2 linked regions of the Drosophila melanogaster genome follow. The protein of the gene in region 1 purifies or fractionates together with the protein of each later gene. This does not show direct contact. Each region holds a gene or a part of one and is shown on either strand. Other genes may lie near its edges.

The links.
Region 2: the proteins of Pebp1 (region 1) and Naa40 purify together in Drosophila melanogaster (affinity purification with mass spectrometry, with the first as the bait; one large-scale study listed by BioGRID). This does not show direct contact.

Annotation. Positions count from the first base shown.
Region 1 is NT_033777.3:22,462,515-22,470,240, reverse strand, and holds Pebp1 (Phosphatidylethanolamine-binding protein 1), read right to left. Parts: upstream 4,208-7,726; 5' UTR 4,151-4,207; coding exon 3,620-4,150; 3' UTR 3,562-3,619; downstream 1-3,561. Other genes in the region: CG5377 (uncharacterized protein), read left to right, coding at 2,259-3,095; CG7054 (uncharacterized protein), read right to left, coding at 4,366-4,504, 4,566-4,966; AP-2mu (adaptor protein complex 2, mu subunit), read right to left, coding at 6,201-6,898, 6,955-7,393, 7,462-7,638.
Region 2 is NT_033777.3:29,720,814-29,728,595, forward strand, and holds Naa40 (N(alpha)-acetyltransferase 40), read right to left. Parts: upstream 4,138-7,782; 5' UTR 4,054-4,137; coding exon 3,683-4,053; intron 3,627-3,682; coding exon 3,389-3,626; 3' UTR 3,346-3,388; downstream 1-3,345. Other genes in the region: CG15506 (uncharacterized protein), read left to right, coding at 344-619, 830-1,432; CG34296 (uncharacterized protein), read left to right, coding at 1,746-1,794, 1,851-2,077; Pcd (pterin-4a-carbinolamine dehydratase), read left to right, coding at 2,416-2,543, 2,625-2,775, 3,034-3,333; CG18731 (uncharacterized protein), read left to right, coding at 4,442-4,801; Kul (Kuzbanian-like), read left to right, coding at 6,215-6,317, 6,589-6,772, 6,843-7,236, 7,292-7,782.

The sequences.
Region 1 (7,726 bases):
GTTGGCTGCGGATGTTAACGGTACACGTCGACTGTTAACGGCACTGCACCGATTATTGCTTATGATTTCGCCTGATTTTTTTGGTCCTTAATGTTCAGCACCTTCAGTTTTCGGCATTTTGTATACTTGATTTGCATAATTTTTGGCAATTAAATTCAAAACGGCGCATATTTTGCATCGATACTTTGTCAGACAACCGTTTCTCCGACCGAGTCGGCTGTATTAGTAATACTGGGGGTTATGGTTGGGCCAAAAGCTCGCCGGATACCCCTGCCACCGCAGTTTGTGGCGCCCACGAGCGCTCCATCGTACATGTACATACTAAAAATCGGAAAAAATTTTCACTGCATATCGCAAATGTAGGCGAAAATTTTTCTAAGCACCTCACAGCAAGTGCCCCTAAAATGGGCGCTTTACTGCGGTTGATTCCACAGCAATCAGTTATTTATGCGTATTGATTGAACTATTGATTGGATACGAAATTAGTTGCAGAGACTGCACACAGATTTTTCAATTACACAATTATTCCTTTGAATTTGCACGATATTCTTGTCGCTCCTGCTTTATGTAACTTTTCGGGCTGGATTTTAGCGCGACGCGTCCTTTTCGTTTTTGTTGGTTGGTTGAATTTATTTTTGCAGATTTTTCGGTTCAATTTCGAGGGATACAAAAATGTTGTGTGTCGAAATTTGCTTAGCAGCGCCTTCCGCTGCTTTTAGCTCCGATATCGATCCGCGCTGCATCCACGACAAGACTGAACTGCAATTTCAAACTTAATTTCTTCGCACTGTTTCCAATGGATAACGAAAGCTCCGCCAGCTTATTCACAAAAAGCCACTGGTGCGGTCTAGGCGACTCGAAAATGGCACTACAATCGAACTGGACAAAGGAGTTTGTACCTCACACTACTGATTTTACATTTAGACAAGTTAAAATCGTTCAGAATTACTGGAAATCTTGAATTTAATGGTTTATATTGGTACTTTGTTGATTTACCCGAAAAAGTGTGCTACGGAAAAGGAAAGCACCGCACGCTTTGAGTGTAGTGTGTGGGAATGCCAAAAATTAAAAGCTCGCTTACTTCGCACGAGGCATGCATATGTGTACTACTAACACACAAACGCACACATAGACACCAGCTGCCCACTCACACATGCGTAATAAGCGAATAGCACGCAGGTTCATAACCTGCACCACTAAAGCGTATTAGATGCCACATTCACATGGATACACACATATGCATGTTCAGCTGTGTGCGTGGGTGTCCTGTGGCCGCACGCACACTCACACACACCAACTCAAGCTGACACCCCCCCGGGCTCACTATCTCCGAGACGACCCGTGTAAATTCCTTGACATTTACTACGCAACTTCGACATCTCGGAGTCGAATTCGATTTGCATTTGCATTGGCAGTGGAATGTGATGTCCCTTACTCTCGATTGTGGGTGTATGTCCTGCCTCTGTCAAATCCCATCACCCTGCTCCTTCGTCCTAGGAGAGCAATTGCAAGGCCGTCGCCTCCATTAATCGTCGTCGCAGTCCAGGCGAACACATTAATTTGAGCACACGAATCACGCACTGACCATTACAGCAGGGACCAGGATCCTGCTATTAAGCACTTACGGTTTTTAATAATATTTTAACGCACGCTAAAGGCTAAACAAATGCCAGCACGTGCTGTCCATTGTCCTTCGGAGTCGTGACGTTCAAGTGGACTAACAAGGACTAAGATTGGGAATGCCAAAAGCTGGGGGAAGAGCGAAAAGCTTAAAATCAAACTGAGCGGCAGCTCTTGAACTTTCAAGGGCTTTTAAACTACCATTATTTTAAAATCTGTGGAGAGTTCGGCATTGTCAAGTAATATTCTTCAAAATGAATGGAAAAATCTTTTAAATTTCAGGAACATTCTTAAAAATGCAAGTGCATCACCCAATGCCTAAATATCAATATGAAAATATTTTTCAAATTATTAAAAAATTAACGATTCTTTTAAAATTAGTTTTTTGGTATATTTACTTTTGATTTAACGGTATATGGCATCATCGCACCTACAGCCACACTAATTCGATCGTTTACTTACAGCTGTTCTTATCAATCAGCTGTTATCAACGGATCTTTATCAAGTGCACTTTACAAGGCGTCGTGTGTAAAGATTAGAATTTGCCAAATATTCCTCTCTGGACATCTGAAGAGCCCTTGAGAAGCAGCTAAGTTTGTTGCCATACTCCAAAATCCCCGTTAGATCCCGCTTACGTAATGCTGGGCAATCTGTGCCGGCTTGTGGGTGCCCGTTCCCCGATCACCAGGCGCTTGCTGCACACGGAGCGGAAAGTTCGTGTGAATGGCTCAGATTTGAACATTGTGGAGAGCGGCAGTGGGGAGCGGAGTCTACTCCTGATGCCGGGAGCACTGGGTTCCTCGTGGACCGACTTTAGGCCCCAGATCGAGCAGCTGCCGAAACTGCTGCCGGGTCACACCATCATCGCCTGGGATCCGCCGGGTTATGGCAAATCAGTGCCGCCGCAGCGCAAGTTCGGCCTTGAATTCTTTCGGGAGGATGCCCAGGCAGCCGTGGATTTGATGCGTGCCCTGGACAGACCACGCTTCTCCATTTTGGGCTGGAGCGATGGGGGCATCACGGCGCTCATAGTCGCAGGTCGCCATGCGGAAGCTGTGGATCGCCTAGCAATCTGGGGAGCAGGTGCCTACTTGAACGCTGACGAAGTCAAGGCTCTTAAGAACATTCGGGATGTGGCCAAGTGGTCGCCGCGCATGCGTGAGCCCATGGAAAAGGTTTACGGCGTCGAAAGATTCCCCCAATTGTGGGCCGAATGGGTGGACGCCGCATGCGCCTTCTATGACCAACGGGATGGAGACTTCTGTCGCACCGAAGTTGAGAAAATAAAGATACCTACTTTTATACTCCACGGAAAGAAGGATCCCATGATAGCAGCGGAGCACATTCCTTGGCTGAGGGAGCGTTTGCCTCATGCGGAATATTATGAGTTCCCCGAGGGGAAGCATAATATCCATTTACGTTATGCGGAGGAGTTTAACAAACTGGTGGCCGATTTCTTTAACAAAAATAACTAGATTAACCAATATATTTAAGCTTTCATGGATCCAAACTCATTACTTGTTTAACAATGGTAACTTGAAGTTGGATGGATATTCGTTATATGTGAAAGCAGTTATCAGAAATGAGCATGCAGGTGTTCAAAGTTCGAATTTTAAAAGGAAACTGATAGTTTTGATGAATCAAATTCATATCTAAGTTAAAGAATATTGTTATCTATTCAATGAATCATTTCGAAATAAATTGAAAAATAACCATATCTCCTAACTTAGCGAAAGGGAAATAAATGATTAATTATAAACATTTCTTTCTCTCGCTTTTATAAACTTAACTTCAAAGAAAGATATCAAAGCCTCGGGCAAGTTTAAATTAATTCCGGAAATGTTATCAAAAGTAATTCTTATAAAAATATACTTCAGCTGCTTATGGAAATCGCATAGCAAAAGACCCGCCCACAAGCATGTATGAGATAACTTTTATGAGAACTAGTACATATTTAATATTTATTATTTCACAGAGAGCTGATCAGTTGGTGGCCAGATTACTGGACCGTCTCGATGAGGGTCTTCACGTAGTCATCGTATTGGGCCTGGAAGAAGTTGCCGGCCACGGGACCGCCGAAGCTGTACTTCTGGATGTAGTCGCGGGCCTTGACGTTGATGCGGCCAGTGCGGCTGGTCTTGGACACGAACTTCTCGGTGGTGATCTTGTCGTTCTGCTTGAACACCAGGAAGACGTAGCGGTGCAGGCCGGTTCCCTCGCGGGGTCCAGCACCGATGTACTCGGCGATGGTCTGGCCCTCGGACACCTTGTTGCCGGGAATGTTGATCACCAGCCAGTGGAGCAGCTCACGGAACTTGGGGTCCTCGCGGCTGGGTGCGTCGGGGTCCACCAACAGGATGGTGTACAGGGAGTTGGGCTCGGCATCGAAGACGACAGTGGGCTGGTCCTTCACCTGAGTGGGAGTCAGCTCCTTGCCCAGCTCAACCTGAACGCCGGAAGGATAGGTGATGGTGGCCTTGGAGGCGGGCTTGACGTCGATGATGTCGGGAATAATGCCGGCGGTGTCCATGTTAGCTGGTAGTTCTGTTGCTTCTGCTCGGTGTAGCGTTAGCGAGTTGACTCTGGCCCGGATCCCTGATGTCTGGCCTTTTATCGACGGAGTCCGCCGCCTAATCAGTTCCGTGCACTTTTCAGTTAATACCCCAACGCATAGATAGCGAGATAAGCAATTGGTTAAACTTTATTGACGGGGAATTGAAAACCCTGCATGATATATGCACAAATCTAGCCTACGATCGTTTTATTCCGAATTGGCACATAGTCATCATACTGGGCCTGGTAATAATTGGCGGCAATGGGCTCGCCCAATCCATGTTTGGCGGCAAAGTCCCGGGCGTTGAAGTTCAAACGGCCTGTGCGAGTACTGTGAATGGGAATTGATCAGTGTCACAGTAAACTGATAAATATCTTAATATATATCATACGTATTGGATATAGTGGGCGTCTCCTCGATCTTGTTCTCCTGGCGATAGAGGAGGAAAATATACCGATGCAGGCCAGTGTCCTTGGGCGGTCCAGATCCAACGTAGTCCGCTAGGGAGTGGCCACCAGAAGGATTCTCATTGCTGCCGGGAATGTTGACCACAGACCAGTGCAGAATCTCACGGTACTTGGGATCTTGACGAGTCGGTGCATCGGGATCCACCATGAGCAGGGTCAATAGGTTGGACTTTCCCTCCAGCCCAGACCAGCTGACAATCGGTTGGTCCTTCACCTGGGTGGGGGTTAGCTCGTTGCCCTGCTTGACCTCCAAGTCATCGCCATAGATGACCTTAATGGTGCCAGCGGGAACCGCATCCAGCACATCGGGTACTATGTCATCCATGTTACGTGTAGCGTGTCAGCCCAAAAAGATGATAATACGGTTTTTTTTTCGTGGCGTTATCACTCTGCTGACCAAGCCAGCTGGGTGATAACAAAGCAAAAGCTTCACTCTGATTCAGCGGATATCTACGGATTTATTAAAATTTCCAGTCCAATTAATTAGTATCTGGATGGCGAAACCAGTCAAGGCTATCCAGCGCTGGCAACAGCTAACACCTAGAAATAATAGTTTAATGGACACAGCGGAATAAACTTTATCGCAGTGGGTGAACTGATTGGACAATGTTGATTTCTAGCGCCGATGGAAAATTGTGAAAAGCCCCTTCCACGATAAGCAAGCTTTTATGCCAACTGGCATTTTTAGGCCCTTTTTTGCTTTCCCAAAACGCAAAGATCACTTCCATTGGTGCGATGATTCATGGCTAGAAACTAGTTTTCACTTCGTTGAACATCATCAATAATTGTGACGTTAATTTCAGGATTTAGCTGATCTTGAACCAATGTGCACACGTGATAGCGAAGACAGCACTTGTGGGCTGATCATAAAGTTGTATATCACCCATTTATGAGGTTGTAATCGTACCTTTCCGTTCTATTGTTGGGCATATCAGTTCGATATAGGGAAAAGCCATATAACGATACCCTTTCACCAATGAGAAACACATCATTTTTAGTATATATCATGCTAATTTATTTATTAAACAATTCGAATATTATTAACACTTGAATATCAATATTGATAGCGCTGACAGAGTTTTGGTCTATTAAATACGCTTAGTTGCATTTATCGCCTTTGTTCTTTGCACAATGAAAATAATGATTAAATATACATATATATATATATTTATAATACGATAATACAAATAATAATTAGAGTTGTGAAACGTGAGCGTGAGATTTGTGAGACGTCCCGCGACGCATATAAAAACAACATAGTTTACATTTACATAGTAGGGTAAATCATAGTACCTAGTAGTGGTATGTCTATGGGGAACACGCCCCGCCCGCATAACCAGTGCTCGCGGAGGCAGTGTGTGCGGTATACGGCATAGGGTGTCCGGGGTGGATCCGCTACTCGGGCGTCCTCCGGACTTGCTGGAACTAATCTTGGAATACATAAGCTGCTGGTTCAATTTGATTGAGGAAATACCAATAGATGCGGTAACACTTTCTCCATTCATCTCGTTAAATTCAATTGTGATAATCTTGCTCCGTGATGGGGATGCTTGGGCGCCCTAGCAGCGCGTCTCATACAAGCCACTGCGTCCGATGTAGCGCACCCATTTGACCACATCGTGGTCGGAGTAGTTGAGCTTGGGCTCGAACACCTTCAGGTAGCGTACCTTGAAGCCGGACGGCGCGAATGGCACCTCAAAGTTCATGGAGATGGGCGGCCGAGTCCACTTCTTCTTGGTGTCCGTCTCCAAAAGTTCGATTTCCGCGGACAGCTGTGTCTCCTTCATGCCCGCCATGCGCTTAATCTTCCACACGATCGCGTTCTCCGAAGCCTTATATTTGGCTTTGCCCTTTAGGCAGATGAGCTGCACGCCCGATGTATTGAGCGGGGTTGGTATCTTCACCTCGATCTTTTGGCCCAGCAGTGAGGGCTTAAAGTTGGACTTCAGCACAACCTTAACCTCCATCTTGGTGCGGCCCACCTCCCGCACCAGCGGGATGACTCGGAATGGCAGCGAAATGTCTTTGGTGGTACGGTAACGCATCAGCTCGAACTCCCCGTCCGGCGGGATGAAGCTGATCGAATGCTCCGTCTCGAATTTGCTTAGCTTGACGCACTGATGGAACTGGCAGTCATCGATGACCACGACGGGCTTGCCGGAGCGTGAGGTTTCCGCCTCTGAATTTCCGGAGAGACCGCGTCCCTTAGACTCCATCACGATCTTGTCGTTAATCCCGAACTTGCACTCGGGCATGCCTACAACATGGCGATTATTAAAAGGAATAATGTCTAGATTATTTATGCTAACTTACCCGACAAATACGACTTCATTACCACCTTGCCGGCCACGTGGGCAGACAAAACCTGACCCTGCGGGCTCATCAGCAGGTTCACGTACTCCAATACGTCCAGGAAAAGCTCGTTGCGCCGGTACTTGATGCCCTCGCGACGCCAGCCAATCTGGCCGGTAACCTGCGAGGTTATCTGCATCTGCTCCTCCTTGGTGGCCGACTTGATGCCCTGCTGTGTGATGAAGGTCTTCAGGGTGCCGGAGTCCGTGTTCTGCGGGTAGCCAAAGTCGAGGATCTCATCCAGCAGCTCGTAGATGAGCACGAAGTTATTCTTGATGTTCTCCTCCGAGATCTTGCCGAAGTAGGATTGCATCACCTCGATGATCTTCAAAAGGAACTCAAACACCATCGCGGCGTTCACATTCTGCTTGGTCACAGCCGCCAGCCAAATGTTTGCTCTCTGTGAAAGGAGTTTTGATGATAAGTGGGAGGGTTGGTGATTGTGACATAGGAACTTTGTTCACCGACCTTGATGTGGAAGAAGCTGGTCCTCGCAATATTGGTCACTGGCGAGCGGACCTGCTGGCGGGCGTGGATGACGTTGACCCGAAAGGCGTCCACGGCATTCCGACCGATGTCGTCGCGGTAAACTCGCGAGATCAGCACCTCGCCCTTGTGGTTGTAGACGAACAGGCCGCCAATCATCTTGTGCGCTATCTGATGGTTAGTCCAAGTCGGTGTAATATATATATTTATATGCAAATATAAGATATATACATGGACAGTGGACGAT
Region 2 (7,782 bases), 7.3 Mb from region 1:
TGCTGGTATTTGAAAGTCGTGGGTTTCTTCTGACTCCATATAGTCCATACAGACACGTAATACCTGGCTTTTTAAAGCCATTACTAACAAGCTTCCCTGTAGAGCACCCAGAGTTCCAGCTGCACAACTTCCGTCCAGCACAAGCACACATTGTGCGTAGTCCAAACAATTCATTGATTGATTGTCGATATGGCGATCAATTAGACAGATTATGGTTTTCATTGATCGCCATCCAGCAGCAGTAGTGACAAACCCAGGGACAGCTGTCAATGGTCACTTGTATCTACTTCTATATGCACAATATATAAACGCCGACTTCGATTTCGATTTCTATTCTCGGCAGCACACCATTTTGATTCTCCTACTGCTACTGGGACTTGTTCTGTGGACCGATTCCTCGCTGGCCGCCCGTCGCCTGAGGAAGAAGCCCAAGGTCTACAACGCTCTCATCACCACCGACGACAACCTGACCTCCAGCCGCGCCTATCCGGTCATCCAGCCCACCATTCACGAGCCGGGCTACGCCCCCTTTGGACCCTACAATCCCTACGGATTCTACAGTCCGCCGATTGTGAGATTCGGCCAACCGATTGTCCCGGGATTGACGCCAAATGAGAGGGTGAGCTTATGGGTTTCATTAAGTTGCTAACACTGATAAACTTAGCGAAATATTTCGCAAGATTAAATTACTGCTAGCTATAATAAGACAATGATTAATTTAATAATAGGTATCATAAAAAGCTCACTCTAGAAATCTCTGACTAGAGCAATGAACCGCACTCAAAAAAGAAATATAGTAGTTTAAACTATTGAAACCTTAATATTACAGCTCCCTTACCCTCTGCCATCTGCCGCCCAGTATCCCGCTGGCTATGCTCCATATGAACCCCAACAACCGGTGGAGGCGCCAGTGGAGCAGCAGCCGCAGTCGGCGTCGCCACCCGGAACCGTGGAGCGCCAGGAGATGCCCAAGGAGCAGATGCCAGTGCCGTTGAATCAGCAGGGATTGCCGCCCGTGCTGATACCACTGCCCTCCCAGTTCAGAGGCCAACCCATGCACCTGCCACCGTATCCTTACAGCCAGTATCCAGTGATCTATGACCAAGCGGGCTTCATAAGGCAGAACTACTTGCCGCCGTACGACTACTATCCCAGCCAGGGTTATCCCCTGCGGGCAGCCACTTTGCCGCGCGCGGAGCAGGAACAGCCACTGAATCCCGTCCAGAGTCCACCTTCGCCACAGCCACTTCCCCTGGAGAATCTGGAGCCGGCGCAGCCCAGTTTCGAGGACATTCGCAACGGTTCGGAGAGCAAAAACAGCGCGGTGCCGGATGTTCCACCTCCGCCAATACCCTCCGGACCCAAGCGTCCACGGCCCGCGGAACCGGAACCGGAACCGGAAGCGGAACGCAAACCGGAAACGGACAACTGATTGCGGGCTGACCAAAATTCCACACACGTATTTATTACCATTTCGCTTAGGCATAATATCGATTCGATTGTACAATGTCGCCTTAACCCGTAAGCTAAAGTAAGAGTTCATTCAGAGATAACGAATAAAAAACATAAAATCGCACTGGCGGTGATTGAACTTGGATGGATGTTCCCCAGTTCCCCAGGGAAACCAGGGGACGATTTCGCTTTCGTCGGGGAATTGGGAGCCGTTTATCTCAGCTCTGATGGGACTATAAAGGCAGTCGAGTTGCCGGGAAAAGTTACAGTTAACATCGAAAGGGGAACTCAGAATGAAGCTGGCCCTGCTCCTGATCCTCTGCTGTTGCCTCATCGGAATGGGTGAGCTACAACTTTGGTCTTTGGATACCCAATGAATAACAATATCCAATATGCAGCGATTGGTGACTCGGTTTTGGTGACCAAGCCGCCGTTCATTCGCAGTCGCTATAGCTTGCGTTGGAGGAAGACAACCACTGTGGCGCCTGAAGTGGTCACTGGATCCAGTGGATCAACCGTTAACACGGTCACCACCACCGACCATCCCAAGCTGGCCACTTCCACCGCCAGTTCGGATTACGACTATTACGGAAATGGGGAGACGGAGAATGTGGTGCACAAGTAATAGTCATATTCCAGCCATATGACTATATATTAACACTTGATATAATCAGAGCGACTTTAATGTCATAACAATGTAAGAGAAGGCCATTTAATAAATAAACTGTATGTCAAATCTCTAGAAATCAATAAGAAATCCAATAAGAAATCTAAATTCAAATTACGCGGCATTAGACTTTATAACAGTTATGTTGCTAGCAGACGTTGTCAAAACAAGTTGGCAGTTTTTACAGCTCCATGTTAACTCAATGTTAGCTAACATACGACACAAGTCAGCTGTTCCGCGCCGACAGCAACAGCAACAAAAACAGCAGCTAAGAACAAACGAGTTTTGGATCGAAAATGTTGTTAACAATTAAATGCGCTCAGAATGTGATTAAGCCGAACTGCCAGAAAGTGGCCAATCTGCTTGCCAGCAGCCGCAGAGCTGGTTTATTCCCCACAACTGCAACAACAGCAACGAGTAGAAGGTATTCAAAAGGTGGAATGTGCGGAAGGGGAGGGAGGGGCAAAAATACCAAACTTAAATCTGAGCTTTATTTTTCGCGCAGCCTGTCGCAAATCTCAGTTCTGTATTCGCCAGCAGCGAGAGAAGCAGCACGGGCAGCAACTGGTGGCAGTGCGAATCTCCGGAGAATCCACAACACCCCAACCACAGAAGCAACAGCAACCGCAATCACAGCGAAAAAGCGCAAAATGGTGGTAAGTACGAGCCGAAAGTGAGTTTGAGATCAAGGTGAACGGAGTCTCAGCGAAATCGAGTGGTTCCCTTATCGCCTCCAACTGAAATCAATCGACCACCCAAGGACAGGTTTGGACTTTCGGAAAGTGCTTTATGCCCTAACAAATAGAATCACTGTGATTTTGGCCAGAAATGGAGGTTTTTCGCTCACAAATTATTTTGTATATATATCGTATGAATCAATAACACTCACATACTTGTTGCTCGCTGCCCTTTAGGTACGACTAAACGAACAGGAACGCGCCGAGAAGCTGCAGCCCCTCCTGGACGCCGGCTGGACTTTGGTGGAGGGGCGCGACGCCATCTTCAAGCAGTTCGTGCTGAAGGACTTCAACCAGGCCTTCAGCTTCATGACGGGCGTGGCATTGCTGGCCGAGAAGATCAACCACCATCCCGAGTGGTTCAACTGCTACAACAAGGTGGACGTGACCCTGTCCACGCACGACGTGGGCGGTCTCAGTTCGCAGGACATTCGCATGGCCACGCACTTGGAGACCACGGCCAATTTGTTGAAATAAACGCATTGTTATACTAGTTGCTAAATATCTATAATCTTCGGTGTCCAATAAATACTCAGCTTAGCATCGATTTGCTAAAGATTTGGTAGTCGGCTTGTTCCAGGACATCTGGCGAGATCTCGTCCTTGACGTAGCCCAGTTGCTTGAAGAAGGAAATGGAGGCTTCGTTGTTGTTGAGAACGGTCAGCATGACCTTTTCCAGATGCCACAGGCGAGCGCAGTCCTCCAAAGTGCTCATGATGAACTTTCCCAGGCCTTTTCTACGATACTCTGCAGCCACTTGCATTTCGTAACTGAAAGGAAGTTCTACGTAATTAATGCATAAGGGCTTTACTTATGGAATACCCACCAATACAGGACACAGTCCCCGTGATCCATGTCGAAGCGGAACATTGCGTAGGCCACGTTCTCCTTCTTTTCGTTCTGGGCCACCAAGTAGCGAGCCCAGTTCTTGTTCAGCTCGGCGGCTTTGATCTTGGGCTGCCAGCCCATCTTGAGTTGCTTGTAATAGGGTCCCACGTTCGTCTCGGCCAGCTTAAAGGCCCATTTCAGCAGTTTGGAGTCCGCATCCGACTTCGCTCGGCAGATGAGTTTGAATTCCTCTCCGCTGGGGGCTTTGTAGCTTTGGTAGCTCAGAGATTCGAGGGGATTCTTGGCCCTGGCAGCCGTCTCCACAAATCTCTGTTTGGCGCCCTGACTTAGATCGTCCTGATTCCGCATTGTTTGCTTAAAATTTTGTAAAAATGGCAATTCGACTAAAAATATGCCGCGCAAATTAGGGATGGCACACAGTGGTAAACAAACTATTATTGCTTATATAGAGACTGCTATCGATTACACAGATTAACTTTAATTGGTATTTTTGAAATAATAATTACTGGCCACTTCATTATTTACCACTGTTTTGTAAACAATTGCAGAAAATTTATTGAATTCCATTTTACGGCTTATATACGGGTTTTAGACTAAATTGTTAGTACGATAATTAACCTTAATATCACTAAGACTACGAGACTCGATACATCAGGTAACCCCACATATTGAATCCCCAATTCAACAAGTGCTGACGTTTCCAGTTCTCTAAATTGTAGTTTCAAGGAAACAGACGATGTTTAGGAAGTCCAGGCCCAAAGTAGAGCCTCCACCCACGGCTCCCAGTGTAGAGGAAATGCTGGCGGACATGGAAACGTTCGAGGTCAATCAGCCTACGATAAGCGGATCTACAGACAACTTGGACTTGGAGCACGCTTTCATGACTGAACCAGAGAATCTTCCCCTTTCAACATGGTGGCAGATGTTCGACGAGTACGATCAGAAGGTGAAGAAACTGTCGGCCACCGTGGGAGATCTGGAGACCCAACGAAATCAGTTAAAAGAATGCTATGCGAAGCTGGAAAATAACGCGGATAAACTGAGAACGGACATCCAAAAGCAGCAGGCACTGGTCAAAGAAGCCCTTAAATGTTAATCTATCATTAAGCTACCTTATCTTAAACTATTGTTGAATGCACGAGCGGGTAACAAGTAAAACCTAAAAACTCCACAATCTTGAGAATATTCACTTTAGGCCCACTGCACTGTGGTTCGAGTCCCGGCTAGAACTTCAGCTCAAAGTACGTTTGCGGTATATTTTTCAACCGCGAGGTGTATTTTTCTGAGCCTGACATTTTAACGGTCAATGCGCGGTGTGGTCACACTGCTTGGTGGATGGTAAGGTGGTCGAAAAAAGTTGTTAAAAGCGCAGAAAAAGCAATTGTAATGCAATTGCTCCAGTGACTGTGAAAAGTAAGCAGCCAAGCAAATAAGTTAATCAAAACATAGATCAACAGATCAGAAAGTCCTAAAACGGCACGATTAGTCGTGAAATTCGCTCGGTTTAGGCCTGGATGATTGGGCAGAAGAACAGGTTTTAGGCCGTGGCAACAACGAAAAAAAAAAAAAAATAGAAAAAAAAACCTGCGACTGGCTTATACCATTTACGCCATTAACGGAGGTCGATGGTTATCCCTGTGTGTGTGTGGTGTGTGTTTGGTCCAATATATTTGGCTAAATTCCGCAAATCCAATTAACGCAAACGGAAAAAAAGAGTGCAACAATTTGTGGCTAATTGAATTTTACGTGTATTTTATTTTGGTTTTCGACCAGCGCAACAACAACAGCGAGCAACGAGTAGAAAGAGTGGGGAGAGCAGTGGGGGTTTTTTTGGCCCAAAGCTCAGGTAGAATACACACACACACGCATGATTGTTGGGCAAAAACAATAATTATCCAATTAAACGGTTGTCAAAGAATGCATTTAATTTCATTGGCCAATAGGTTTGCGCGTAAGAGAGGGAAGCAGTGGCGAAGAGAGCGCCTAACTAACAGTATTTTTCACGGGCACACCAATGCGAGCGACACTGCTTCGTGTGTGTATGTGTGTGAGGTGCTAATGAGATGCTGTGACGCTCTTCTTCTTCTTGCCGTTTGTTGCTTTTGCCATTTATGCAAAAAGACGCAAAACAGCGAAAAAAAAACAGAACAAAATACACAGATTTTCGAGCTGAACAAAAGATTTCACGTAAAAGGTGAAAGCCACTTGGAGATGCGAGCACACGGCGTATACGCAATGCAGTTTCTTTGTGCCACGGACCGTTAATGCAATCATCTCGCGATCATAACCGTTCTAGATTCTCACCTCTCCACTCCGCATTCTGCACTTTTCCACTCCTCCAGTTACCGCGGAGATGTCACCGATTGGAGCCACTTCCTCGCAGCGAATCCCACAACAATAACAAATAACGAATAACAAATGATGTGATGCAGCAGCAGGGGTCGAGTTCGAAAAACACAACCTTCGAGTAGTCCAGGCCATCTAGAATCGCACCCGGATCGCACCCACGATGAGCTGGCTGCTGGGCCTCCTCGGGCTCCAGGTCCTGTTCCTCTGGCTCCTGTGGCTGCCCGGCGAGATCCTGGCCATTCCCACGCCGCTCAAGCTGCCAGGTGAGTCGGGCTTTAAAAGATAACCCAAAATCTAAAAAATTAAACAATCTGATTTTTTACAAAGAGGCTTCCTCAAATATGCTATTTGTATATCATCATCGTATCAATATTTGTTTTCTTAAGTACACTGTAATCCTCTTAATCAGTTGCTTTCTATAGCCTACCCACAAATTTGTTCATCACTTAGTTAAGAGAAATTTCATCTTGTCATCGCCGCTGGCAGCTTTCTCCCGCTCCCACTAACCCCTAAAATGCCCCCTTCCTCTTACAGGCTACACCCACAGGCTGACGCCCTACATCAAGCACTGGGAGGCGGCGAACTTCGATCGCCAGGTGCTGCAGGCGGCGCAGGTCAGGCACCTGGAGCAGGCTCGCTTCCGGCAGAAGAGAGAGGTGACCCCCTCGGCGAGTGGACTGGCGCACACCATCCGCTTGAATTTCTCCGCCCACGACAGGTGAGTGCACTCGATATCGCCAGCCGAAAAGGTAATCACTTAATCACCTAAAACCGCCTTCCTCACGCAGAGATTTCCGCTTGGTGCTGCGTCAACAGCCGCATTCGGTGTTCGCCCACGATGTGGAGATCGAGAACACTCTGGGCCCCATCGACTACGATGTGTCGCGCATTTATACGGGCAGCCTGGAGGACGACGAGGCGGCCCACGTCCAGGCGATCCTCACCAGCGACAACCTGTTGGACGGCACGATAGAGACCCAGGCGGAGCACTACTACATCGAGCCGGCGCATCGGTATTCCCAGCAGCTAGCCGAGAGCGGTGTCCACAGCATAGTCTATAAGTTAAGCGATGTAAATATGCAGAAGCAGCAGTTCACCGGCGGAGGACTCAACTCCGCCACTCCCGCCAAGACGCACTGCGCCAGCGAAAAGCTGAGGAAGAAGCGGTGGCTGCCAGAGGAGGTGAGTATCCGAAGAATGCACTCTAAATCCCATTTTAATGAATCTCACCTTTTAGCTGGCCATGTCGGATGCTCCGGCCCCCACGTACAATCGTAATCCGCCCCTGCCGCTGGACTTGGAGGTGCCGTACAACGATGATTTTCGCGTCCTGGCCTCCGAAGAGGACAAGAGCGAGGAGTCGCCGCGGAAGTACCCGACCACGTCCACAACCAGGAGCACTGTGCGCAGCACCGAGAGCTTCCTGGCCACTCTGACTAAGCCCACGTCGAACCGCAACATACTTGTAAATAACTACAATCCCTCCAATCTCGGCGAGGGAAGTCGCAGCTACAGCAGCGGCAACAACAACGCCAACAGCAATAGTAACAACAATAACAGCAACAACAACAATAATAATAATAATAGTAATAACAATGTGCGGAAGTTGTACACGAAACACAAGAACATTATTGTAAGCACGTACAACCGACCCATCGAACCGGAATTCGGAACGCCCTACGAGGAGCCGAATAACAATGGCACCCGCGAGCTGCCCAGTAACTTCTT